Linked DNA regions of Macaca fascicularis. The protein of the gene in region 6 purifies or fractionates together with the protein of the main gene of each other region. This does not show direct contact. Links are inferred from orthologs where the notes say so. Each region holds a gene or a part of one and is shown on either strand. Other genes may lie near its edges.

Region 1 (2,964 bases), on a different chromosome or scaffold from region 6:
GGGTTCAAGCGATCCACCCACCTTGGCCTCCCAAAGTGGTAGGATTACAGGCATGAGCCACCGTGCCTGGCCTGCAATTTTTTTTTTTTTTTCCTTTGAGATGGAGTTTTATTCTTGTTGCCTAGGCTGGAGTGCAATGGATCTCAGCTCACCGCAACCTCCACCTCCCAGGTTCAAGCGATTCTCCTGCCGCAGCCTCCCAAGTAGCTGGGATTACAGGTATGTGCCACCACACCCGGCTAATTTTTTGTATTTTTAGTAGAGACAGGGTTTCTCCATGTTGGTCAGGCTGGTTTCAAACTCCTGACCTCAGGTGATCCGCCTGCCTCAGCCTTCCAAAGTGCTGGGATCACAGGCGTGAGCCACCGCACCCAGCACCCAGCCCCCTGCAATTCATTTTTTAAGTTAAGTTACATAAATGTTTTGTTGCTTCAACAGAAGAATAGATGCCAGGGTGCTCTTTTTAAAAATTCATCTATGTAAACACATCTTAATACTAATTTGAGTCACTACTTTTATTCTTTATTATCACATTTTCCAAGTTTTGGCACCCAAACTTGGCAAACATCATGGAGATTTGTACAAACATACATATACATATATACACACACATTTATAGCCCCAGCTTCTTCACTAAACCTTGTGCTCAGGCTCCTGTTAAAAGAGGTAAAATGGTGAGAAGATAAAAATCAGGGAAAACATGAATAAATGCTGATTGACAAATCTTGTTGTTATGAATTTGTAAGGCAGACTTTCTAAAGCAAAATCCATCACCTTGCTAAAATTTCCACTAAGCTATAGCTTCAGATATTTACAAGAAAAATAAATACCTTCTAACATACTTCAATGTGGTTTAACAGCAAGCTAGCTGAGGAGCTGTACTTTGTTGTTATTTCAGGTAACTTTTTATTAAGAAACAGTTAATATTGCAGTGATTAAAATTTCAGGTGTTCAAAACTCAAGAAGGGTCATCATTATACTCTGAGGCAGAAGTCTTCAGGCACTCATCCTTAAACTACGACCCAAATCCGCCACAGTGACATTCAGGCTTTCAATTTTTAAAAACATTTAATGTTTGGTAACTAAAGAGTAGATGCGATTAGTGTACTCTAGGTCGTTTCATTTTATTTTTTTCTGTAGGAGCTTTCCTCTTTTGTGATAATCCAGTCCCAAGTTCCTTATTATTCTGAAGAAATGAAATAGCTTCTGGTAGACAGTAATTTTCTACATGAGGAGGTGATTCCTATAAAAGGAAAAATAAATGATTTTTTTAAATGATTTCAAAAATTTGCATGATCCAGTAATAGATTTTTTTCTTTAAATCTCCAACCTGTCAGGGATGAATCTGACAAACGTCAAGGAAAATGCATATTCATTCCTAGGTTCCAGTAAATTAAACAAAATGAAGCCTGTGGGACAAAGCCCCAGCTGTTGTCAGAGAAATACATGTATCGCTCAGGTAGAGTGCGGCTAGCTCAGATCTTACAAACATTCCATATTGGTGTTTTTAATCCCCATTTTAGAGATAAAATAAAAAAGGTTAAATAAAACAACCAGTGTCACATAACTAGCAGGTAGTAAAGCCAAAATTCATAACCGATCTGACTCCAAAACCCTTGCATTTTTCAACCACAACCATTTCCCAACATAGAAGAAATGGATCTTTTCCCCCTTATTATAAGTGTAATAAAACTTAATTTTCTAGCAATATGGCAGACTGGGCAACCTGAAAATGAATCACCACAAAATACTAAGTAAGTGCCTTTTGATTCAATTATTCCATGGATAACAACTACAAACACTGACCAAAATATACTAAAAGCAACCACAGACCCTGGAGAATAAACAAACCTAGCAAATGTGGGGCTGGGGACGCAAACACAGTGTATGAAGTAAACTCCCTGTTAAACAACACAGTACTCTTTGGAGGAGCAGAAGAACAGAATCTAGAGTTTCTTTTTTGTGGGGAGATAGGGGTCTTGCTGTGTTGCACAGGCTGGTCTCAAACTCCTGAGCTGAAGCAATCCTCCTGTCTCAGCCTCCCAAGTAGCTAGGACTACAGGAGTACCACCATGCCGGACTTGAATCTAAAGTTTCTACGACTTATTCATGACGTCCAGAATATATCCAAAATTAAGCAATTGCTTTGTAAAGAAGCAAAACATGACCCATTCTTAAGAAAAAATGAATCATTCAAATAAACAGAAATACTTAGGCATAAGCTTAAAAAAAACATATATAGGATCTATATACTGAAAATTACAAAATGTTTATGAAAAATTAAAGACCATCTAAATTAATAGAAAGAAATGTCATGTTCATGGAAGACTCAATGTGGTAAAGATGCTGATTCAAAATGATCTGTAAGTTTAATGAAATTCCTATCAAAATTGCAACAAGGTTTTTATAGACATACATAAGCTTATTTTAAAATTTACATGAAAAGATACAGGCAAAAAAAAAGCTGCTACAATAGCTAAAACAATCTTGAAAGAGGAATAAAGTGGAAGGAATCACCAGCTGATATTGGAGTTTATGTAGTTATCAAGATAGGGCAGTACTAGAGAGGGACAGACACACACATGGATCAATGGAATTGAAAAGAGAACCCAGAAACAGACTCACACAAATATGACCAAATGAATTTTTTTTTTTTTGAGATGGAGTCTCGCTCTTGTTGCCCAGGCTAGAATGCAATGGTGCAATCTTAGCTCACTGCAACCTCAGCCTCCTGGGTTCAAGCAATTCTCCTGCCTCAACCTCCTGAGTAGCTGGGCCTACAGGCATGCGCCACCATGCCTAGATAATTTTTGTCTTTTTAGTAGAGATGGGGTTTTGCCCTGTTGGCCAGGCTGGTCTGGAACTCCTGACCTCAAGTTATCCACTGAGCTGCACCGGGCCAAATCAACTGAATTTTGACAAAGGTGCAAAAGCAACTCAGTGAAGAAAAGACAGTTTTCTGAA
Region 2 (4,034 bases), about 18 Mb from region 6:
CTAGGCCCCAAACAAGAAAGGTAATACCTGAAAAGGCCCAAGCCTCTGCCTGCCACCAACCGCTGCTGATGGTCTCAATCCAGACAGACCACTAGCACGTCATCCTTCCATCTGTAACTCCTGGCCTAATTTCCCCCACCATGCTAATGTTCATCAATGTTTAAGACCTTATTGTGCACGGGAACTACCAAGGGACCTTGTTAAAAAATCCAGATTCTGACCCAGTCAGTAATCTGGGTCCTGAGATTCCGCATACAGGTTCCCAAATGATGGTGATGCTGCCCTGTGGACCACTCTAGCAAAGGACTAGAGTAAGGTTGTGGAGACGACTTCTCCTCCTCCTTCTCCTCCCCCTCCTCCTCCCCCATGTCCTAGGCTGCAGAAATCCAACAGGATACACCAGTGACAGGGAAAGATATGGCAGTTAGGCTTTGTTTGGGGGTAACCTGTCCCCTGCAGTAGGTTTGCTGTAAAGCAGGCCGAAAGGTCCACAGAAAAGGTCAGCCAGGTAGGATGTCCCAAAGTTGCCCCTGCTGAGACCAGGTAGATCCAGAGATAACTCCCAACTTACATGATACACCCAATAGACCACACATCCACCTCGAAACTGTGCCCTTTCTTGCTCAGCACCTCGGGAGCTATGTAATTAGGAGTCCCGCACAGGGTCTTCTTCCTCTCCCCGTCATATTCGACTTTGGTTGCCAGTCCAAAATCCCCTGGGACAGAGGGAGGAAGAGCGGGTACTTAGATGCCAGCCTCTGCCATCTGTCAATGCAGAAGGCTAGTTAAGGTTTGACCATCAAGAACCAGGGCCATTTGATCCCACAAGCTTCTGCTCCTTGTACGCAGCAAGGCTTGCCCAGGAATCTTCCCGCCATGCTGACACCAGGGAGGTGCCTCCAGTGACCCTTCTCACCCCTCCCCTTAGAAAGGGGCTATACTTCGAAACGGGAACTGGCAGGGATAGCAAAACTCCAGTGCCTTCAAGGATCAAGCAAGTTAACCTCCAAGACTTGGCAAGTCTGTGAAGAAGTAATAGGGAGGAGTAGAGACTGTGGCAAACAAGTCTGAAGGGGACAGCTGCTTTCCAGCCCAGCAAAGGACTGCCCTAAGAAAATGCTGTCCTCGTATTACTGGAGCTTTCATGACTGTTTAAAAGGAGCTCTAAATCAAAATTTTTATGTCAAACCTTCCAATTTAAAAAATAAAAACAAATTCAAATTCTTTGTAAAAAAAGAAAAATGCTGTATTGGGGCACAAAAAATAATGCATCTGTAGGCAAGATACTGACTTGTGGGTTCTTTGTTTGAAATTTCTGGACTAAAGAGAGAATTCTAGAGGCAATCAACAGCCCAAACTTCCCACCATCCTCTTCCTTCCTCCTGGTCTCCTTCCTTTCTCCCAGCCTCCTCCAAATTCCAGCCTCTTGGAGTGATGTCAAGCACCCCTGCAGGCTCAGCAACTCACCTATTTTCACCTCCAGATCTTCATTCAGGAAAAGGTTGCCCAGCTTGAGGTCTCGGTGAATAACTCGGTTTCGGTGCAGGTACTGACAGCCAAGCACAATTTGCCTTAGGTAGTATCGGGCCTCAGGCTCAGTCAGGGCTTTCCTCCTCTTGTGCAGCTCCAGGAGAGACTGTGGATGGGAAGGAGAGGGCAGGAGGGATGGGGAGGTGGTATTGAGGCCGGTGGGGAAGGGAGAGGGTTACCAGGCAAAGGAAGCACAGGACTGGACTCTGGACTCCCAAAGGATGAAAGAGGGGTCTTGGTGGGTTTCTCTCCTTCCCTATGCCCCCACCCCATTCCTTCTCCAGGACAACTGGCATCTGGACCCTGCCTTAACACTGTCCACAACCATTCACAGCACCCCTTCTCCTACTAGCTTTCTCCCTTACCTGGGGGTCCTCTCTCAGCCCCACTCCGGAAGTCCCCAGCAGCAGATCCCTTTCCTGACTCTTATCTCCCTCGGAAGGCCCGAAGTCTAGCTCCAACTACCCCCTCACTGACCCAGCTACACTCCGGAAGCTCCCAGTGCCCGGCATCACTAACCTGGGACTCCTCCCTGGCCACTCCAGGGCCCTAGCGTCCATTACCAGCAGCCCTCCCCCCAAGTACCTCGCGTCCAGAAGCTGACCTCCCTATCAGCAACATGACTCAGACTCCACTTCACTGGAACCCCGTCCTCTAGCAGCTCCAAGAGCCAAGAAGCCCTTACCAAAGGCACTTTCCATACCTAAGAGGGAGGCTCCCAGCACCCTTCTCTACCAGCTCCAAGTCCCAGGTACTCCCTTCCTGGGCACTCTTTCCAGCAGCTCCAGGTCTGGGCGCTCCAACTGCCCCGCAGGCAGTTCCAGTTAACCAGCAGCGACACTCACCCTCCGGCGGCAGAGCTCCAACACCACGAACACGAAGTCGTTGTCCTCGAAAAAGCCGTGGAATCCTACGACGTGCTGGTGGGCGAGGCTGCGGTGAATGGATATTTCCATGGACATCTTCTCCCTCTGGTGCGGCTTAAGCAGCAGAGACTTAGGCACAATCTTGCCCGCGAACACCTCCTTGGTGTCCGCGTCCGAGATCTCGAAGCACTTGGCAAAGCCACCCTTGCCCAAAAAGCGGCCCCGCACATAGCGCCGCCGGCTGCGTGGGTCCACTAGGACCTCCGGGATCTCTTTCGCCGGTGGAGCCGCCGCCGGAGCTCCAGGAGCTGCAACTCCGGGGACCCCGGCTTTCCCAGAGTCGGCCGGTGCCCGTGCCAGCTTCCCTGCAGTCACTGCCGCACTCATGCTCCTGGAGCTGCTCTGCTGACCTGGATCCGAGCAGACGCTCCGCACCGCTCAGCTCCTCCCCGAATTCAAACGCGGCGCTGGGAACGTTACAAAAGCCTGCGCGCCACTGATTGGCCGCGGGGATTTAAAATCCAAACCCGCCCGCCGCGCGGCACCATGGGAGCGCCCTGCGCAGCAGCTGCCTTTAAACCCGGACCCAGCCGGGGAAAAACTTGATTGACAGGGACGCCCGAACACGTGGGATAGCCTGGGAAACCAAATCCGGCGTGGATGCGGAGACCCAGCCCCGAGAGGGGAGGAATTCCTTCGGGGTTTCTCCCTTTCTCGGGCGTCCGGGAAAGCTCCTGCAGTTCGCTTGCGCCTCCTCCAGGAAGCTTTTCCTTAAATCTTCCTCCACTTCCACCCCACCTAGAATATAAGCAATCTAAGAGTAGGGAACTGGCATGCCAGCAGGTCGTTTAAGAAAGCCTTAGCATCCGCCTCCCGATGCCGTCAGCTCTCAGCCAAGCCACCCGAACTGAACTAAAATCTAAGTAAAAGTGTGCTTGCCAAACATACCTTCATGGCTAGTCTGCTCCTTCAAATAACTGCCGCTTCTGAGCTCCTCCGGATTACAAAGCAACGCTGCTTAAAGAAGGGGCCATGGAACAGCAGCATCGCCATCACCTGAGAGCTTGTTAGAACCGCAAAGGCAAACATTCAGGCCCTACTCCAGACCTCCCGAGTCAGTGTCCGCCTCTCAACAAGACTGCTCAGGTGATTCCTACACATCCTGAAGTTGGAGAAGCACAGTACCAGAGTCCTCCATGATGCAAGGAAGCTGTCTGGCCTGCTCGCTACTGAATTTCCCAGGGCCTAAAATAGTGGACACTCAGTTTCTTGGTCAGAGGGACGGAAGGTTGGAAGAATGCCTAGCAAACTGGCAGGTCATAGCCAAATGTGTCTTGCAGGGTTTTGTTTGGCCTCCCACGTGTGTGTGTGTGTGTGTGTGACGGAGTCTTGCTCTGACTGGAGTGCAGTGGCACAGATATCGGCTCACTGCAACCTCTGCTTCCTGGGTTCAAGCAGTCCTCCCGCCTCACTGCAACCTCTGCTTCCTGGGTTCAAGCAGTCCTCCCGCCTCAGCCTCTCAAGTAGCTGGAATTACAAGCGTGCACCACCATGCCCGGCTAATTTTTGTAATTTTAGTAGAGAAGAGGTTTCACCATGTTGGCCAGGCGGGTCTTGAACTCCTGACCTCAAGTGATC
Region 3 (3,500 bases), on a different chromosome or scaffold from region 6:
GGATGGGCGGCCCCTGCAAGCCAGGGCACCTTGGAGCAGGCTGTGCTTCTTGGGGTCCTCAGCAAAGAGGGGGCCGAGACAGGCGGCCAGGGCGGCGAAGTCATCGGAACCCTTGTAGTCCTGCAGGGCCTGGGTGAAGGTGGCAAAGTTGGCTTGGCTCAGTTCCTGCTTCACAGCCACCATGAAGAGCTTGGCCCTGTCCATCTGTGCACCAGCCACGGGCTCCTCCTGCAGCACACAGGCCCGAGGCTCCATCAGGGCCAGCCTCATCATCCCATCCCTGCAGCTGCAGAGCCTTCCTTGGAGCATTGGGTGTTCCCCGGGACAGTGATTGCTGAGCGGGGGCTGCTGCCTGAGAAACTGGTTGGCTGGATGGACACGGAGGTGCTGCGGGAGGAAAGCTGCGGGGCTGGGCCTGTCTGGGTCACACAGTGAGAGGCTGGCAGGGAACCGAGGGCAGCGAATGGGCAAAGGGTAGACTGGCTCTCCCTCAAGCTGGGGGTCCTCTCTCCTCCTCCCTAAAGCCCCCACCCCACAGCGGACACAGCTGAGGCTCCAGGATGGCAGATCATAGGGAGGGGCTTCCCAAGAAGCGGTGTTCATCTCTCCACACACCCCAGACCAACACGGAAACGTGGAAACCAAGGCAGGGGCAGCCCCGGCACTCCCCACCCAGGCCCTCAACAGCCCAGGCCCCTCGGCAGCCGCCCACTTCCTGATGGCACCAGCCCTGCCTGGGCACCACCCAGTTCTTCCCAGAAGCCAAGGGACATGGACAAAGGCTGCCACACTTGGGGCTTTCCAGCAGGCAGGGGGCTTCCTGGCTCCGACTATAACTCGGTTCTTTCATCCAAGGCTGGGAATGGGCTGCGCCCCTCGAATGAGGCAGGTGCACGTCCACACTTGAGGGAAATGCCAGGGCCAAACCCAGTGCTGCAGCCCCCAAACCAAGCCTGCCTAAGGGCGGGGCCTGATCCCAGCTGCCCTTGAGCCCTTGGGCCGACAGCTTCACAGCCGCCCTGGACATCAGCTCCCGGGGGTAACTTCCCTGGTCCCATCGGGCCCACATCCCAACTTGGCTGGGGGCACCCAGGGCCGGGTTCCCACACGTGTCTATGGTGGTCGGCACAGGTGCAGGGACAGCTCACGCACCAGGTGGCTGACCAGCCGGATCTTCTTCCTCCCTCCTCGCAGCTCCTCTGCCGGCCTCTTCTCAGCCAGGAGGGACAGGGTGGAGCAGCTGTGGGCCTGAGGAGGACACAGCTGTGGTTCCAACCACACACTCCAGGGCCCCAAAGCACCTGGGCCCACAGGGAAGATGGCCCCAAGGAGCCCTGAGCAGTAGCCAAGACGAAGGTCGGGGGAGGGGCGCGGCACACCCTGGTGACAGTCCCACAACTTGGTCCTGTCCAAGTCACGCCAGCGGCTCATGAGGCTCACAGGTGGTGACACGTAAGAGCAGGTCCAGGAAGGACAGTCCGACCACAGCGAGGGGCTGGCAGGAAGGGGACACAGGTGTCTGGTGCCTGCACCCGGGGCTCACTCCAGGAGCCTGAAGGGCAGGGACAGGCAGCAAGAGAACGGCCCCCAGCAGGAAGCAGGGAGAAAGCTGAGAAATTATGGGCTTCTGGGGCAAAAGGCCCCAAGGAGGAAGGAACCTGGGTCCCAACCGCAGCACATTCCTGGAGAAAGGCCAGCCTCAGGCACAGCCAGGGGCAGGGGCACCCGACCTTGAGTGCCCTGAGCCAAGCTGACCTGCCAGAGAATCAAAGTGATGTGGGGGCACTCGCTGAGGGCCAGGGCATGCACCACCTGGGAGCCAGCAGCCTGTGGGTGAGGCGAGGTGGAGGGCACACACACAGCCAGGCAGCCGGGATCCCTCACCTGCCTGCCCACCCCACAGGCAGGGGATTTACAGGGGTGTGTGGGGAGGTGCCTGAAGTCAGATGGGCGGGGTGGGGTTGGCCTCAGGAGACAGAGGGTCTGTGTCCATCCCAAGGCCCTGGAACTGCACCTGCTCCTCGCCAAGGTCCCCGGCCCGCTGTTCACTGTGCTCCAGGGCGGCCAGCAGCCCCCTGGGCCTCTGCCGGGCAGGAACTGGCTCCTGCTCATACTCCACACACAGGCTACTCTCGGGGTCCCCGGCAGCTGGTGATCCTGCAGAGTACCCGAGTGCGCAGTGAAGCCCACCGTGGGGCCCCAGCTGGGGGTCCCTGCCTATGACGGAGCCCCTCCTGAGGGAGGGTCCCAGCATTTGGGGGCCCCTGCCTGTGGGTGTCCTCCCTGCTATTAGGGGGAGTCCCAGCCTTGGGGCGCGTCTTTGCCTGAGGCCTTCTCTGCCTGTAGGGGAGGGTTCCAGCCCGTGGGAACCCCACCCTAGGAGGCAGACACAGCCTTTGGAGGTGGGAGGGGCAGTGCATAAAGCCAGGTGAGCCGCCTCCACCCTGGGCGCCTGGTGCCGCCCGCCCCACACCACCTGCCCCGCTGCCCGCCCCGCCCGCCCCACACTGCCCGTCCCGCACTGGCCATCTGCACCTGAGGACCTCTGCTTCAGGCTGGGGACATGCAGGTCCAGACTCTTAGCTTTCCTGGTGGAGAGGAGGGGGTCAGGCGACTTGGCCTCCCTGACAGCATCTTCTCCTTCACGCAAACTGGGTGCTGCAGCCCGGGGGGCCGGTGCTGGCATCTGCAGAACCACTGGGGGTGGGTGGGCCCATTTCTGGCTCCTCTGGGGACAACACCCTCATCCCCTCCCTGGGCAGAAACTCACAGTTCGCTCGGCAACACGGAAGAACTGGGCCACGTCTCGGATGACGTGGCCGAAGTTGTCGTACACCCTGACGTGAGGACGCACCCAGGAGGGCAGCTGGGCTCTGGCATCAGCAAAGGCGAACCTGGGGGGTGGCCACAGCCCTGCTGCCCTGCCCACAGCCGCTTCAGGGGGTCAGTTCACCCAAGTGAAGACCCTCATCTGCCGCAGGGGCCTCAGGCTGACCCCGAGTCGCCAGAGAGGCTCTGGGGTAGACGGGGCCTCATGTGGGGAAGGAGTCCAGGGCCCAGTGGGATGTGGCCGTGTCCCCTGGCGCCACGCCTGCCCCCGGACTGCACGCACCTGTGGTCACAGAGGAAGACAGCCCCGTAGTCCTGGCGGTGCCGGATCACTCGCCCAATGGCCTGGTTCACCGCCCTGGACGCCTGCTGCCGGTACCACTCCTGCCCAGAGAGGAACTGGAGGGCGAGGAGGCTCAGTCACAGGGGCTCCCGTGGTCACAGGGGGGCTCAGTCGCCAGATTGCCTTACCCCAGCCCCGCCCTGCTGTAACTCACCTGGCCCCCAGCCCCACCCTGGCCCTTCATCTCGTCCAGGAACTGCATCTTGAGGACAACCCGGGGGTCCATGCGGGGGGGGTACGGGAGGCCCGTGACGATCACACCACGGCCATTCGTGTCTGAGAAATCCAACCCCTCGCTGGCCTGGGGGACACACCAGGGAGCTGCCTG
Region 4 (3,500 bases), on a different chromosome or scaffold from region 6:
CTCCCACTTAGAAGCCCTGTCTTTAACCGCTCCCCAGGATGAGGTTTTTGCTGGCCACTAGTGACTTCTGGCTGGGTCTGATTAACTTTTTCCAGCTTTTGAACAGGAAGCCCCCAGTGGCTCTCAGCTGCCTTTATGTAATCCTTTGCTAGTCCCGTGGATTCTGATGCGGGACTGGAGGAAGCCTGACCATCATTCCTCCTCCTTGCTATCTCTGCAATCACTGAGTTACTAGATGTTTCCACAGTGTCTCTTCTGGTCTGTGATTTGCTCGTGATGCTGCTTTTTGTTTCAGTTCTTTTCACACTGAAACAAACAAAAATGATTTTATGGTTTGTGAAGCTGTCACGGCACAGTTTCCTCCAAATTCCCTCTACCACATTTCCTACACCTGGAAAAGGAGGCAGGCACTACCTGCCTTCTTGCCTCCCCAGCAAATCTGGAAACACCCCCCACAACAAGTGTATGTTTAAATGCAGATGGAATCAAGCAAAAACCTTCACATTTTCCATTATACTAGGATATACCTGCTTATCAATCATTGGGTTAAAAATGGATTTATGATGGTGTTCCCATTTTAACTAAGGCAAACAGGTATTCATTTCCGATGTTAAGGGTCAGTACTGCTTATATGCTGACTTTTTTTTTTTTTTTTTCCAGGAGTAGACTCAGGTTCTGTGAACACAAATGTACACATACACACAATTTCTACTTGTGAGTAAAGAATAATCTCCTGGAATTTCTCTCAGGCTATTTCAAGGTATTACCCAAATACAACCACCACTTAGCTGGTGTCATGTTTGTTGATCAAACTTGATCAACAAATGGGAGTAGGACTTAGTTAATATAATTTGAAATGTCCTGGAAGAAATTCCAGATAGCCAGCATGAAAGGCAATAAAATGCAATCGTGGAAGACAAAAGAGTGTCGATATAGCTGTATATAAGCCCCTTGCTTCTAACGGCATGCACAACAGACAATGTAACTTCACTCTGATGATAAAATGAACTTTGAGGGGCGGGATAGAAGTTGCACAGGGAGAATTAGAGACTACAGATCTTAACTTCAGCATATATTTACAGGTCTGTGAATGGCAAGAAATTTCCTCAACCACCAAAACATTGAAAGCTGAAATATTTATTTTGGCTAGCTTCAGCGTGAAAACAAATACATATAATACTCATGTTCTTACTGTTGACACCAGGAGTATGAGGATTATTGTAATTATATTAAAGTCGGAACAAGGATCTTAGGAAAGGAATGTATTTTTTAGATCTGTCTGTAGTCCCTCTGAAAGTGGTATGAAACACACCACCAACAGGTGCTTTTCATCTTCAAAGAACGTGTCATTAATTACTCCTTGCAACACACCTGTGAAGCAAGGACTCTATCCCTATTGTCCAGAAAGCAAGAGAGTCAGGAGGGAGGGGAGAGCAAGTACATGATGGAGGGGAGTTTGTGCTTCAGTTCCAGGCACTCTGTTTAATTCTGGACTTCATGTTATCTATCCATACATAGAGGCAGTCACAAATGAGAAAAAGGAAACACATTGCACCTACATTTCTTTCAGAGCATTTCTCCGGAGCTTTGCACTGGGAGGAAGTGAACTCTCTGCACACTCAGCAAAGTAATCAGACACTCCATGGAGAACTCTTTCTGTCTACTCCAAAAGATAACAAAGGTTCAACCAGAAATCTATTAGCTGAACATGAGAGAAAACAGTTACACTCTGAATGCCCAATGAACACATTTATTTTTGTAAAGACTGAATGAAACTGCTCAGTGGTAAGCTATTTTAACCTTTTTTACCTAGAACTTTATGGTTAATTGTAACTTCTTTTGGACTCCCAGTCTACATTTCAAACATTAATATGTGCCATAAACATACAAAACTGTAAGGCAAAGAATGCTGATTCCAAACCATCTGGGAAGTCTTGGCCAATATCTGGTAACTGTGAGGCCCAGGCTGTGACAAAAGCCCCAGAATCCTACTGTGTGGGGCAGCGTGCCTGTGAGCTCCGTTCTTCCAGCAAGACCTGGTGACACAGTGGTCTACACCCTTACCATCCTAAGAATTCCCCATATTTTCTCTATCTGCAAAAATAAAGAATATTTTGTGGCCGGGCGCGTTGGCTCACGCCTGTTATCCCAGCACTTTGGGAGGCTGAGGTGGGCGGATCACGAGGTCAGGAGATCGAGACCATCCTGGCTAACATGGTGAAACCCCGTCTCTACTAAAAATACAAAAAAAAAAAATTATCCAGGCGTGATGGTGGGCACCTGTACTCCCAGCTACTCAGGAGGCTGAGGCAGGAGAATGGCATGAACCCAGGAGGCGGAGCTTGCAGTGAGCTGAGATGGCGCCACTGAACTCCAGCCTGGGTAACAGGGTGAGACTCCGTCTAAAAAAAAAAAAAAAAAAAAAGTTGTAACACCCAAGACCGTAGCAATAGTCAAATATTTTAATATTGGTATTTTGAAAACTGGAGTTTGTGATTCTTGGCTACTAAAAAATTCGGGACTTTTTTCCTTATACTAACCACCACTCTGGTTTTATATAATTCATAGATTATCTGCCTATCTAGCCTTTTGTGTTCCCATGGAAGCATCATAAGGAAGTAATTATAAAATGTAAAAGCCTACCTACCTTGCCAACATTAACCCATTTCATAGTTTTGGAATCTCTTCTCCTTTTGGTTATCGAGTACATAATCCAGACGAGTATTAACTCCTCTCATTTTCTGAGACACTAAGTATTCTTCCCCATCAAATTCCAATAAAATGTTGCTACCACCAGAAACAGCTTTAGTAAACTGTCATTAGGTCCTTGCTTTAGAACGACACTGGAATTAGCAGTGACAGCCCCAGAGCACCTGGTGGGTGGCAGCCATGAGTACCACGCCTGGTTACCCTACAGGCTGAGGGGATGTGCTTTGCCTAATCACTGCCCTGCACCACTGAGGATGGGCTCTCCATGCTCTTCAGTTGTGCCTATCCATCTCAGACCTGGGCCAGTGTCATTCAAAGTCATATCTGGTTATAACCCAAGTGAGTTTTAAGCTAGTGAACAGAATATTCTATGTTTTATTGGATTATACTCCCTTTTTTTTGGTTTGTTTTCTAAGACTTACTAGTTGGCCAAAATGAGTGACATCTTAAAATTCAAATGAGAGAGAGAGAGAGAGAGAGAGAGAGAGGAATCGAGATTTATGTGTGAAACACTTCTAAACATGCCCTATAAGTACAGTAGAATCTCCCCTTACAACCACACCCTGTAAGTGCTGTATTTTCAGAGCTGAACAATTAACATAAGGAGCATGAGTCAGGCTTTGAACAACTCTGTGGGAACCAGAAAGCCTTTTGCTATTAGGAATGATGTAAATTCCCCAAGGCTGGAAGAAATCCACAATGCAAGGCAGACAGGGTCATAAATAACAACAATGAATACTGCATATGCCACATAAAGTATTATGCTGCGATAGTGACACTCTCTTCAAATC
Region 5 (4,062 bases), on a different chromosome or scaffold from region 6:
TTCACCAGATGAGGCTCTGGAACTTTACAGCGTGGACACCAGACTCAAGAGGAAACACGCTGTCTTCTAGCACCTTCCTGTAGTTGCTCATGCCTTCTGTCTGTACGAGTCTTTCCCAGCCCACAAGGCCCAATTCACTTCTCCCCAGACATGGCAAGCAAATACAGAACACCTGCTTAAAAGAGAAAGGCTGGGCTCAGTTCCTGGTTCTACTTCAAGTTTTTTTTTTTTGAGACAGAGTCTCCCTCTGTCGCCCAGGCTGGAGTGCAGTGGCACAATCTGGGCTCACTGCAGCCTCCACCTCCTGGGTTCTAGTGATTCTCCTGCCTCAGCCTCCTGAGTAGCTGGGACTACAGGTGTGTGCCACCATGCCTGGTTAATTTTTTTGTATTTTTAGTAAACACAGACTTTCACCATGTTGGCCAGGCTGGTCTCGAACTCCTGACCTCAAGTGATCCGCCCGCCTCAGCCTCTCAAAAAGTGCTGGGATTACAGGTGTGAGCCACTGCACCCAACCTACTTCAAGTTCTTTAACCTTAATCTCTTTCCTTAAAAAGGCCTAAGAAATTCAGAATATTTTACTGATTTTTAAAAAAGAATTTAATGGGCTGGGCATGGTGGCTCATGCCTGTAATCCCAGCACTTTGAGAGGCCGAGGTGGGTGGATCACCTGAGGTCGGGAGTTCAAGACCAGCCTGACCGACATGGAGAAACCCCGTCTCTACTAAAAACATAAAATTAGATGGCGTGGTGGTGCACGCCTGTAGTCCCAGCTACTCGGGAGGCTGAGGCAGGAGCATCGCTTGAACTCAGGAGGCGGAGGTTGCAGTGAGCCAAGATTGCGCCATTGCATTCCAGCCTGGGCAACAAGAGCGAAAATCCATCTCAAACAAAAAAGAAGAAAAGAAAGAAAAAGAATGTAACTCCCATCTAATCATGAGAAAATCTTCAGACAAATCTCAACTGAGGAACCTTCTATAAAACCCCTGACCAGGATGCGTCAAACAGTGATGATCATCGAAACAAGTCTGAGAAATTATCACCACCAAAACGTGCCTGAGGAGGCATGAAGATTGCTTGTCATGTGGGATCCTAGAACAGAACAGCAGGTAAAAGCTGAGAAAATCTCAGTGAAACATGAACCTTAGTAATAATGTATGGGTTACGGCTCATTAATTTTGATATATATACCACGCTTAGTGTATGATGCTAATAATAGAGGAAATAAGGTTAACAAAAGAAAAAAAAGTAATATAAAGTACTTAACACAACCACAGTAGTAAGTATAATTCTGTGCCCCTTTCTCAGAATACTGAGTATAAGGAGCAGTTAGGACTGGGCAAACCATCCTTGCCTCGAGAGCAGTCCTGGCCGACAGAAACAGAATGCCAGCAACATGTGAAAATTATAAATTTTCTAACGGCAACATTAAAAAGAAACAGGTGAATTTCGATCATACTTTTAATTCAATATGCTAAAAATACTATTTCAACACATAACCAATGTTAAAAACCTGCACTTTTTTTTTTTTCCTTTGAGACAGGCTCTGTTGCTTAGGCCAGAGTGAAGTGGCGGGATCTCGGCTCACACTGCAGCCTGGGACCCCTGGACTCAAGGGATCCTCCTGCCTCAGCCTCCCGAGTAGCTGGGACCACATGCGCGCGCCACCTCGCTCGGCTAACTTATTTTGTAATTTTTGTAGACATGGGGGTCTTCCTATGTTGCCCAGGCTGGTTTCAACTTCCTGGGCTCAAGCGATCCTCCGGCCTCGGCCTCCCAAACGCCCGGATTACAGGCGTGAGCTACTGCACCCGGCCCTGCTTAAGTTTATTTATTTTTGCTTGTTTGTTTTTGTTTTTTTGAGACGGAGTCTCACTCTGTCGCCCAGACTGGAGTGCAGTGGCGGGATCTCGGCTCACTGCAAGCTCCACCTCCCGGGTTCACGCCATTCTCCTGCCTCAGCCTCCCGAGTAGCTGGGACTACAGGCGCCGCCACCGCACCCGGCTAATTTTTTTGTATTTTAGTAGAGACGGGGTTTCACCGTGTTAGCCAGGATGGTCTCCATCTCCTGACCTCGTGATCCGCCTGTCTCGGCCTCCCAAAGTGCTGGGATTACAGGCGTGAGCCACTGCGCCCGGCCTGCTTAAGTTTAAATTGACGTAAACTAAGCATTCCCTTCAGGAATCACACGGGCCATATTTCAAACGCTCATTAACCGCACGCGGCTGGCGGGCGCCCTCCTGCAAACGCCCCTGGAGGAGGCCCGGCTTCCACCCCAGCCTCGCCCCGGCCCGCGCTCCGGCGACGGCACCCAGGACGGACTCGCAGGGGCGGAGAGAAGGGCGACGATGAGGCGGAGCTCGGCCCACAGAAGCCGGCGGGAAGGGCCCGCCGCCCCCAGAACCCTCAGCGCAGAGCGGCCCCGGAAGGCGGTTCCTTCGCCGGGGGAAGCGGACGGCGACCCCAGATCCCGACTCGATCGCAACCTTGAACCTGGTCCCGATCCCGATCCCAACGGTAACACCGGCCCTGACCCCCATCCCGACCCCAGGCCCGACCAGCCCCGCGCGCACCTGTCCCAGTTGGGGTCCCAGACGCCGGGGCCCGGCCGCGCGCCCCCCGCCCAGGCCGGCGGCTCAGCCGGGCGTGGCTCCGTGTCCCCGCCCGCGCGCGGCTTCCCTACCGCCACGGCCGAGAAGAGCACGGCGGCCGAGCCCCCTGCCAGCCCGCAGGCCGCCAGCTGCAGCGCCTGCCGGAACGCCATGCCGCCCGCTCCCGCGCCGGCCCGCGCAGGCGCCCACAGCCCCGACGGCGCTCCGCGAGGGACACGCTTCCGCGGGAGGCCGCTTCCGGGAAGCGGGGACGGAAGTCCCGCCTCCTGGGGCGCGGCGGGGCGCTGGGCAGCCTTCAGCGAAGGGGTGTTTTCGCGGAGCCGCCTGCCCCGTCACTCTTCCGTCCCGTCACTGGTGCTCGCGAACGCCGGTGCGCGCAGGTGCGGGCGGAGCTGTGGAGACGCCGGGAGGGCGGTGCGGTGCTTTCCAGAAGGTTCCGCACCGGAAGCCCTGCCCAGGCTCGAGGCTGGGTGCGGGGCGGAGACTCGGAGGAGAACTTGGGGCCCTGGTTTAAGGGAGCTGGGAAACCGCGGCAGGTTTGTTTAAAGGATATGTTTTTGGTGGCAGAACCCGAAATAAATTTTTCCGCCGGCGCCGTTCCTGCGTGTGCGGTTCAAGCGGCGTGAAGTGCGTTCAGGTTCGGCCGGGCTGTTACTTCTGGTCCCGGCCTCCTGCGGGATAGTCCCTCTGTGGCCGGCGCATTTCGCTTAGCAGGGTCCTCAGAGGAACCTCGTTAGAGCCTGGGTTTCCTTCCAGGGGGACCGGCGCTCCCCGTGTGGACCGACCCCACTGCTTACCCATTGCTGGACGCCTGTGTGGACCGACCCCACCGCTTACCCATTGCTGGACGCCTGTGTGGACCGACCCCACCGCTTACCCATTGCTGGACGCTTGCCCTGTCTCAAAAAAAATTAATAACATAAAAAAAGGAAAATTGGGCCCGGCGCAGTGGCTCACACCTGTAATCCCAGCACTTTGGGAGGCCAAGGTGGGCGGATCACCTGAGGTCAGGAGTTCGAGACCAGCCTGACCAACATGGTGAAACTCCCTCACTACTGAAAATACAAAAAAATTAGCCTGGCATGGTGGTGCGCGCTTGTATTCCCCGCTACTCAGGAACCTGAGGTAGGATAATCGCTTGAACCCGGGAGGGAGAGGTTGTAGTGAGCCAGGATCGTGCCTCTGTACTCCAGTCTGGGTGACAGAGTGAGACTCTGAAAAAAACAAAACAAAAAAATTGGCCAGGTTCAGTGGTTCATGTTCGTAATCCCAGCACTTTGGGAAGCTGAGGCGGGTGGATCACCCGAGGTCAGGAATTTGAAACCAGCCTGGCCAACATGGTGAAACCCCGTCTCTACTAAATACAAAAATTAGCCAGGCCTGTAATCCCAGCACTTTGGGAGGCCGAGACGGGCGGATCACGAGGTCGGGAGATCGAGACCATCCTGG
Region 6 (3,500 bases):
TCTCGAACTCCTGACCTCAGGTGATCTGCCCACCTTGACCTCCCCCAAAGTGCTGCGATTATAGGTGTGAGCTACTGCGCCTGGCCCATAAAAAGCTTTTTTAAATAGAAAAAGCCCTGAGTGCACACAGCAATATTTGGCTTGGTTTTCTTCCTTTTCGTTGACTCACCTGGACACTGGCAGGCTGCTGCTCCCCTCAGGCTGTGCTGTCTGCAGCCGGACGGCCTGCAGCAGGAGCTGGGGGCCAACCTCCATCTTCACAGCACACTGCTTCAAGTGGCTGGCTCTGTTCTTTAAGGTCAGAAATGGTTTCCCACAAATCGGGCACTCAGGGATCTGAGGCACGGAAGGTCTTAGTGCCTTTTCAGCTTCATCCAGGCACCTGAAGGAAGACAGTTAATACAGGAGAACCACCCTCCCCGGGAATGTGGATTGGAGCACATGTGGGTCTAGGTCATCATGGATGTGCTGTGGTCAAAGCAAGTTCCCCAAAGCTAATCCCTCCACACAGCCTGACTCCGTCTCCTGGCAGTCAGCCCCTAGACACTACACTTAGGTATCTGTTAGCAAAGCTGGCTAAATAAAGCAAGGAAAGATTAAATGCAGTTACATGATAACTTAGAAATTCCACTCCTAAGTATAGACCCCCAAGAACTGAAAGCAGGTACCCAAACAAATACATGAAACCCATGTTCACGGCAGCTCTATCCACAATCCCAAAGAGTAGAAATGCTCCAAATGTCAGTCAATGGATGAAAGGATAAACCACGGTCATATTCCTCATCTAAGAATGGGAAAAAAACACAGTCTATCCATACAATGAGATACTACTCAGCCACAAAAAGGAATGAAGCCTGTCCCATGCTACAACATGGATGAACCTCAAAAACAACATATTCAGTCAAAGAAGGCAGACACAAAAGGACAACTGTGCAATTTCAGAATCGGCAAATCCATCCAGACAGAAAGTTGATTAGTGGTTGTCAGGGGAGAGAGGGGCAATAGGGAGTGGCTGCTAATGGGTGTGGAGATTCTTTTGGCGGTGATGAAAATAATCCAAAGTGATTGTGGTGACAGTTGCACAACTGTGTGAATAAATGGGTGAACTATATGTTCTGTGAATTATATCTCAACAAAGTTATTTTTTAAAAAGGGGTAGGTTGACAACAAAGCTGAGGTGCTATTTTCACAGTAAGGTGTGGAGATCCCCACTCCAGCCCTGGGGTGCCCGGGGATTCTGGTCACGTACACGGGAGAGGTGATGGCCCACGCTGCCCCCACCTGTTTACATGCTGTTCCCTTCGGGTCACGTTCATGGCTGACAGGTTCTTTTGACAAATCTGGCAGAAGAACAACCCTTTTTCCTCCAGGCTATCATCATGTGCCGATGCTCCTACCCGTGCAAACTCCTGCTGCAGGGTCAAGGCCACCGCAGCGTCGCTCTCTGGGGCAGGGGGCCCAAGCCCAAACACTGTGGAGAAGCACCAAAGATCCGTGAGGATCAACTCCAAAGACAAGCTCACCCTCAGACCTCTGCTCTGTCGGCTCTTGCAGACCATGGGGAGCAGGGGGAGCACAAATAAACCAGAACCCAGCTCCACTCTGTAGACCGGTGACTCAGGCACTGTCCAGTGAGACTGGGCACTAGTCAGCACTTCTGCAACAGCCATCTCCAACTTTAACATGCATATGCATTGCCTGGGAAGCTTGTCGACACTCGGATTCAAGTTCAGGGGGTCCAGGTGCAGCCTGAGACTCTCCGCCTTCCTAGCAGCCCCCAGGCTTGGCGATGCTGGCACCGCAGGACCACTCTGAGTAGCAAGGACCTACACTTCCCCACTTCTGCTGAAGTCAGCTACCTTGGGCATTGCAGGTTCACAAGGCTCATATTCCAACAAAGCTAGATGTTCTCTTCGAAGCTCAACCTTTCCTGCTGACCTTTTACTGCCCGTGATAAAACCAGGGCAGAGTGAAATGCCCTTGGCGGTTAAAAAGCAGCATCTCTTACTTAGCATCAGACGCAAGAATGGACTGATTCTGGTCTTGAGATGGCTCCCAGGGTGGCCCATCTGGTATTGCTGGAGCAGACCCCTGTCACTCACAAGGGATACGCCCTGAACGCCTCATAAACCCCCAAGTTTTTGATGGCTGTGGCCTACCAGTGCCTGCCACTGAGGCCAGCAAAACAGCACACCTTCATTTTGGTGCCCTGTTTTGTTTGGTCGTCTTCTTTTTTTTTTTTTTCCTGAGACAGTCTTACACTCTGTCCCCAAGCTGGAGTGCATCGATGCGATCTCAGCTCACTGCAACCTCCGCTTCCCACGTCCCAGTGATTCTCCTGCCTCAGTCTCCTCAGTAGCTGGGATTACAGGTGCACACCACCACACCTGGCTAATTTTTAGTAGAGACGGGGTTTTACCATATTGGCCAGGGTGGTCCTGAATTCCTGACCTCAGGTGATTTGCCTGCCTTGGCTTCCCAAAGTGCTGGGATTACAGGTGTGAACCACCACATCCAGCCTGGTTTGGTTTCTTAACAAAGAAATGGTTTATCTCTTTCTGAGAGCTTGCTGGGTGTGATGTGAAGATACAGAGAGAACTGAGTCAAATGCTGGGCAGGGGCGGAGCTCACACCAGCTGGGTGCCTCCTCTATACCTCACATGTGCATCCAGGACTGATGCCTCGGCAGGACATCAAATCACTGCCTGCTGTGGACCCTGGGGCGGCCTGAGACTCATCGGTGTTACTGAAGTGAAATCTGCAATGCAATGCCAAGAGCCTGCATACTTATTAGCTCTAGGTCCGCCAATAATAGTTTCTTCCTATTTCTTTTCCCTTTGTAAATTTTCATCAGAAATGAGAATCCATATTGTTTCAGGGATGGAGAACAGAAGCACCTGGCATTATTATGCTTATGGAGCTGGTGCTACACCAAGTGCACAGCAGCTATGGGGCACTGTCTCCACACGCTGTCACCTGGAGCCAATGAGCCTCTAATCCACTCAGAGTGGGGCAACCCGGGGCAACCCAAGGGTTAGAGGAAGGAGTTAAAGGATCCCATAAAGAAATAAACAAATCCAGAGAGTGGGAAATCTTATAATACAATTAGCCTAGCCTCTTCAAAAACTCAGTTTTTGTCATGGGGCTGGGTGCAATGGTTCACACCTCTAATCCTAGCACTTTTGGAGGCTGAGGAGGGCAGATCGCCTGAGCTCAGGAGTTCAAGACCAGCCTGGGCAACATGGCGAAACCCCGTTTCTACTAAAAATACAAAAAAATTAGCCGCGTGTGGTGGTGGGTGCCTGTAATCCCAGCTACTCAGGAGGCCGAGGCACGAGAATAGCTTGAACCCGGGAGGCCGAGGTTGCAGTGGGCCGAGATCGCGCCACTACACTCCAGCCAAGGCTCTGTCAAAAAAAAAAAAAAAAAAAAGTCAATGTCATGGAAAACAAAAGAAAACAAAGGGACTATTCTAGAATCTAGACCTTAGGAGACTGCTG
Region 7 (4,109 bases), on a different chromosome or scaffold from region 6:
AGTCAAAAGTATGGAGAAACAGGATGGCTTACAAAACAATCTAATAAAACCAGTCATCTGTTTAAAAAAAAAAAAGCTTAATACTGGGGTCTTAGGAAGAATTTGTCTCCAAGGTCTGTATTTTATAGGAACCAATAAATAAATTAGAAATTTCTTCATTAGATATAAATGAAGAAAATGTTTTTCATGGCCCCTTTTGGTATGTATCAGTTCTAGATAAGATGTATATTAAATCATAGTTCTGTGAAGAAACTTCTATGAGAACCACTTTATAAAGTAACATAATGCAGCTGGGCGCAGTGGCTCATGCCTGTAATCCTAGCACTTCAGAAGGCCGAGGAGGGCGGACCGCGTGAGCTCAGGCGTTCGAGACCAGCCTGGGCAAGACGGTGAAACCCCATCTATACTAAAATACAAAAAATTAGCCGGGTGTGGCCGTATGCGCCTGTAGTCCCAGCAGTCTCAGGCAGGAGAACTGCTTGAACCAAGGAGGCGGAGATTGCAGGGAGCCTGCAGGGAGCCCAGATCTCATCACTGCACTCCAGCCTGGGCAACAGAGCAAGTCCTCCACACCCCCCCCCAAAAAATAATAAAATAAAAAATAACATAATGCAAGAACAGTGATTTCAGGTGATACCTTTCCCATTTAGTTTATTCTAGGTTTTTATAAATGTATGTTTTGTTGCCCTACAGGACTGTAAATTCCTCAAGGCTTATGTTGTCTGCTTCCATTTCAACTGCCTTTACTATTTAGTAGAGTGCTTTACAGTTGCTACTCAACTATAACTGATAAAATGTTATGCAGTCAATATTTGTAATATTAGCTTTCCCCGCTACACTATAAATTCCATGAGAACAGTGACAGTGAGTTTTGATCGCGACTATATCCCTCCAAATCTAGAAGATCACTCTATAAGTATTCGCTGATTGAACGGATTAAATAAAGAAAACACAACGAAAAAGTATGAAAGGAGAGAAATAATTTAAATGGCAGTAACTTTGGGTTCTAAGGTTGTTCTCAATAAGAGCTAGAAGACCTCAGGTAAGTTACTTAACATTTGATTGTCAATGCTTTCATCTGTAAAATAGAAAAATTAACAGATATTTCAGATTTAAATGTTTTTAATATATATATAAAGCATTTAACACAATACCTGAAAAAGAACTCAATAAATGTTAATTCCTTTACTTTCTCTTACATCTCATCTATCCATAAAACAGTGCCTTCCAGGAATATATTATTTCAGTAAAAATACAACAGTAATCATTCTTACTTTCCTTTGAAAAATTAAATTTTCATCTCTTTAATCTTTAAAAAGGAGGGAAAAATAACTTGTGGACTGCTTTCAAAATATTACAAATGCAAAAGCTAGTTAAGAAAAAAACAGTGTCGAGAATGAGCCTTGTTGGTGGCACCCGCCTGTAGTTCCAGGTAATGGGGGGGATGCCTTGAGGCCAGGAGTTCCAGATCAGCCAGGGAAACAAAGCTAGACTCCATCTCTTAAGAAAAAAAAAACAGGAGGGGGGAAATCACCTTATCTACTAATAGAGATTTTTAAGCAACCGTTTATTTAAGAAAAAACGGTGAAATTCAAGTTAATATTACTTGAGAGTACCCGTTTCAGAAAAAAAAAATACTCTGCATTGCTGGGTGTGGTTGCCCGAGACTAGTCCCAGCTACTTGGGAGGCCAAGGCAGGAGGCCAGTTTGAGCTCAGGAGTTGGGAGTACAGCCTGGGCAATATAGCGAGACCCCATCTCTTTAAAACACAAAAATTCGGCAATCGTTTGTTCCGAGTTGAAACCTTAAAAACGAAATATTTTGAACGCTTTCACTTAAAAGTGGAACATGACCCAATCCCAAAAACATTACTTCATGACGACTCCCTTGACTCCAGTCATCCTTCAGTTTTATCCTCCAGTTGTGAGCTTAATCTGATACCTAGCTGTTTCCCTCGCATCGCCACTTTAACACGCGGTGTGCAGACCAAGTTCTGTCATTCCTGTAATTACCACACCCCCAATCAGCCGCTACAGGCCCCTGTTGTTATGACATCTGTAAACTGCAGCCGGTCGTCTCCACCTCCCCGCGCCCCCGCCCCGCTTCCCCTACCTCCCTCCGGGCCGCCGGCTCCGACCCGGGCTGTAACTTGTGAATTCCCAAGACGGTCCCTTCTTGCCAGGGTTAGAAATTTTACACGCCACCCCTGCTCCTTCCTGCCTCTGTCAGAGCGCTCTGCACGGCCCACCCCCGCCTCCCGCCCGCCGCCCAGCCACGGCGCAGGCTCCGCGCTCGCCTCCTCTCCGCCCGCTGCCTCGGCACTCCGCAGTCCCCGGCGCCGCTTACAGCCCTGCCGCCGCGCCACGCCGCCCCGCCCCGCCTCGACCGGCGTTCCCGATGGCGATCACACCAGGGCTCCCCACCCCCACCCTCTCCTCCGCCGGCCGCGCGGCCGTTAGGACAGCAGGGCCCGTGACGCACGGACGCGGGCCGAGCGTCCGGGCCCAGGCACCGCGGCTCGAGGCCCGGCCGGCGCCCGCCCTCGCCCCAGGGCCTCCCCCGAGTCCCTCCCGGACTGCCCGGATCTGCCGGCGGGAGGGGGAGGGGCCGAGGCCGCAAAGCCCCCGCACTCACCAGGCTCAAGGCAACCGATCCCGGTGCCACCGCTGAAGTGAGCCCTCGCTCGCCCGCCCGCCGTGCCGCTCCCCGCGCACAACCTCGAAGAGCTGGCCCGCGCCTCGGCGGTGCTCAGCAGGCCTCGCTCTCCGCCGCCGCGCACCTAGCAGCAAGACTCAGCTCTGCCGGCGTTCGCAGTGCGCCTGCGTGCGGGGGCCGGCCCGAGCGCCTACGCGCGCCCCTCCGGCGCTTGCCGCAGAGGCTGCCGGGAGACGTAGTCTTGTAACGCTCTCTCGCCGCACGTTCCTAGCGATTCTCGCCCAGCCTGCGAAGAGTCGGGGATCGGGGAGAGGAGAGGGTCTCGCTAAGAAGGAGGTTTGCAGACCATAACAAAGGTTGGAGAAAGTTATATGTGCAAACCTGTCTTTGCTAAGCTCTTCCAGGGCGGATCGATGTTCACCTCTGTATAGCTTCTAACAAAGTAGGTAACTAATACGCGTTGATGGAATGAATGATGGAATGATTGAAGACTGAGGGAGTATTACAAAATTAGTAGGTCAGCGCCTCGTGTCTAAAGGGCTCACGTGCAGCATGAATGCAAGAAGCTTCTGGACATTCCTTTTTTAGTTATGTCCCATCCCCTTTGCTTGATAATGTATGAGTAGTATCAAAAATAATTAAGTGCCGGGTGCAGTGGCTCACACCTGTAATCCCAGCACCTTGGGAGGCCTAGGCCGGTGGAATACTTGAGACCAGGAGTTTGAGACTAGCCTGGGCAACATCGCGAAACCCCGTCTCTACTAAAAATACAAAAATTAGCCGGGGGTGGTGACGGGCGCCTGAAGTTCCAGCTACTGGGGAGGCTGAGGTGGGAGAATCACCTGAGCCCGGAGTTGACGATGAGGCTGCAGTGAGCCGAGATCGCACCACTACACTCCAGCCTGGGCAACCGGAGTGAGACCCTGCCTCAATAATAATAATAATAATAATAATAATTAAGAAACTACATGAAACACAAATACTCGTTTTACTCTCAAGTGCTCTCAAACGAAAACTTGGAGCAAATGATTGTTAATGTTAAATTTGATGGAATTCTTTGGGGGAGCAAATGGAGTAGTGGCTTCAAAAGAAAAACTGAAGCCAGCCTAGCAGGGGTCACAGAATAGTAGATAGATTTAAAACATATGCCAAGAAGCAAGGTAAAAGAGATGAGGTAGATTAGTACATTTATAAATGTCCCAGGGAAGAGGAGAAGACAGAGGACCACTCTACCTGAATCCTAGGTTATGCAATGTTCATTTGTCCTGGACTTCACTCTGCTGCATCAGCATTCTCCCGCGATGTGTTTACTAAGATCAGAGTTGAGTTTGAGCAATGTGGCTGGGGAAAGGGAAGGTGTGTTCACCAGGAGAGACTTGAGGGCAAGTTTGCCTGACCCCAGCTAGACTGAAGACAGATCACCTTATTCCAATAAGGAGGTAAGATTGATTATT

The links.
Region 1: the proteins of SLX4 (region 6) and TOPBP1 purify together in Homo sapiens (affinity purification with mass spectrometry; 3 studies listed by BioGRID, with this or other methods). This does not show direct contact. The link is inferred for Macaca fascicularis from reciprocal best matches to the Homo sapiens genes SLX4 and TOPBP1.
Region 2: the proteins of SLX4 (region 6) and PLK1 purify together in Homo sapiens (affinity purification with mass spectrometry; 9 studies listed by BioGRID and IntAct, with this or other methods). This does not show direct contact. The link is inferred for Macaca fascicularis from reciprocal best matches to the Homo sapiens genes SLX4 and PLK1.
Region 3: the proteins of SLX4 (region 6) and RTEL1 purify together in Homo sapiens (affinity purification with mass spectrometry; 3 studies listed by BioGRID, with this or other methods). This does not show direct contact. The link is inferred for Macaca fascicularis from reciprocal best matches to the Homo sapiens genes SLX4 and RTEL1.
Region 4: the proteins of SLX4 (region 6) and SLX4IP purify together in Homo sapiens (affinity purification with mass spectrometry; 6 studies listed by BioGRID and IntAct, with this or other methods). This does not show direct contact. The link is inferred for Macaca fascicularis from reciprocal best matches to the Homo sapiens genes SLX4 and SLX4IP.
Region 5: the proteins of SLX4 (region 6) and PGAM5 purify together in Homo sapiens (affinity purification with mass spectrometry; 4 studies listed by BioGRID and IntAct, with this or other methods). This does not show direct contact. The link is inferred for Macaca fascicularis from reciprocal best matches to the Homo sapiens genes SLX4 and PGAM5.
Region 7: the proteins of SLX4 (region 6) and KPNA1 purify together in Homo sapiens (co-immunoprecipitation; 3 studies listed by BioGRID and IntAct, with this or other methods). This does not show direct contact. The link is inferred for Macaca fascicularis from reciprocal best matches to the Homo sapiens genes SLX4 and KPNA1.

What each region holds. Positions count from the first base shown.
Region 1 is NC_088376.1:36,524,103-36,527,066, forward strand, and holds the end of TOPBP1 (DNA topoisomerase 2-binding protein 1), read right to left. Parts: intron 1,244-2,964; coding exon 1,100-1,243; 3' UTR 501-1,099; downstream 1-500. UniProt on the Homo sapiens protein: Scaffold protein that acts as a key protein-protein adapter in DNA replication and DNA repair. Composed of multiple BRCT domains, which specifically recognize and bind phosphorylated proteins, bringing proteins together into functional combinations.
Region 2 is NC_088394.1:22,747,202-22,751,235, reverse strand, and holds the start of PLK1 (serine/threonine-protein kinase PLK1), read right to left. Parts: upstream 2,801-4,034; 5' UTR 2,784-2,800; coding exon 2,376-2,783; intron 1,637-2,375; coding exon 1,468-1,636; intron 717-1,467; coding exon 572-716; intron 1-571. UniProt on the Homo sapiens protein: Serine/threonine-protein kinase that performs several important functions throughout M phase of the cell cycle, including the regulation of centrosome maturation and spindle assembly, the removal of cohesins from chromosome arms, the inactivation of anaphase-promoting complex/cyclosome (APC/C) inhibitors, and the regulation of mitotic exit and cytokinesis.
Region 3 is NC_088384.1:119,806,597-119,810,096, reverse strand, and holds part of RTEL1 (regulator of telomere elongation helicase 1), read right to left. Parts: intron 3,474-3,500; coding exon 3,327-3,473; intron 3,229-3,326; coding exon 3,113-3,228; intron 2,895-3,112; coding exon 2,771-2,894; intron 2,698-2,770; exon of another isoform or gene 2,687-2,697; coding exon 2,536-2,686; intron 2,158-2,535; coding exon 2,015-2,157; intron 1,496-2,014; exon of another isoform or gene 1,249-1,495; coding exon 1,153-1,248; intron 229-1,152; coding exon 30-228; intron 1-29. UniProt on the Homo sapiens protein: A probable ATP-dependent DNA helicase implicated in telomere-length regulation, DNA repair and the maintenance of genomic stability. Acts as an anti-recombinase to counteract toxic recombination and limit crossover during meiosis.
Region 4 is NC_088384.1:76,731,123-76,734,622, forward strand, and holds part of SLX4IP (protein SLX4IP), read right to left. Parts: intron 1,703-3,500; exon of another isoform or gene 1,661-1,702; coding exon 1,560-1,660; intron 307-1,559; coding exon 1-306.
Region 5 is NC_088385.1:139,826,190-139,830,251, reverse strand, and holds the start of PGAM5 (serine/threonine-protein phosphatase PGAM5, mitochondrial), read right to left. Parts: upstream 2,801-4,062; 5' UTR 2,766-2,800; coding exon 2,575-2,765; intron 1-2,574. UniProt on the Homo sapiens protein: Mitochondrial serine/threonine phosphatase that dephosphorylates various substrates and thus plays a role in different biological processes including cellular senescence or mitophagy. Modulates cellular senescence by regulating mitochondrial dynamics.
Region 6 is NC_088394.1:4,381,211-4,384,710, forward strand, and holds part of SLX4 (structure-specific endonuclease subunit SLX4), read right to left. Parts: intron 1,472-3,500; coding exon 1,282-1,471; intron 383-1,281; coding exon 170-382; intron 1-169. UniProt on the Homo sapiens protein: Regulatory subunit that interacts with and increases the activity of different structure-specific endonucleases.
Region 7 is NC_088376.1:160,731,501-160,735,609, reverse strand, and holds the start of KPNA1 (importin subunit alpha-5), read right to left. Parts: upstream 2,801-4,109; 5' UTR 2,635-2,800; intron 1-2,634. UniProt on the Homo sapiens protein: Functions in nuclear protein import as an adapter protein for nuclear receptor KPNB1. Binds specifically and directly to substrates containing either a simple or bipartite NLS motif.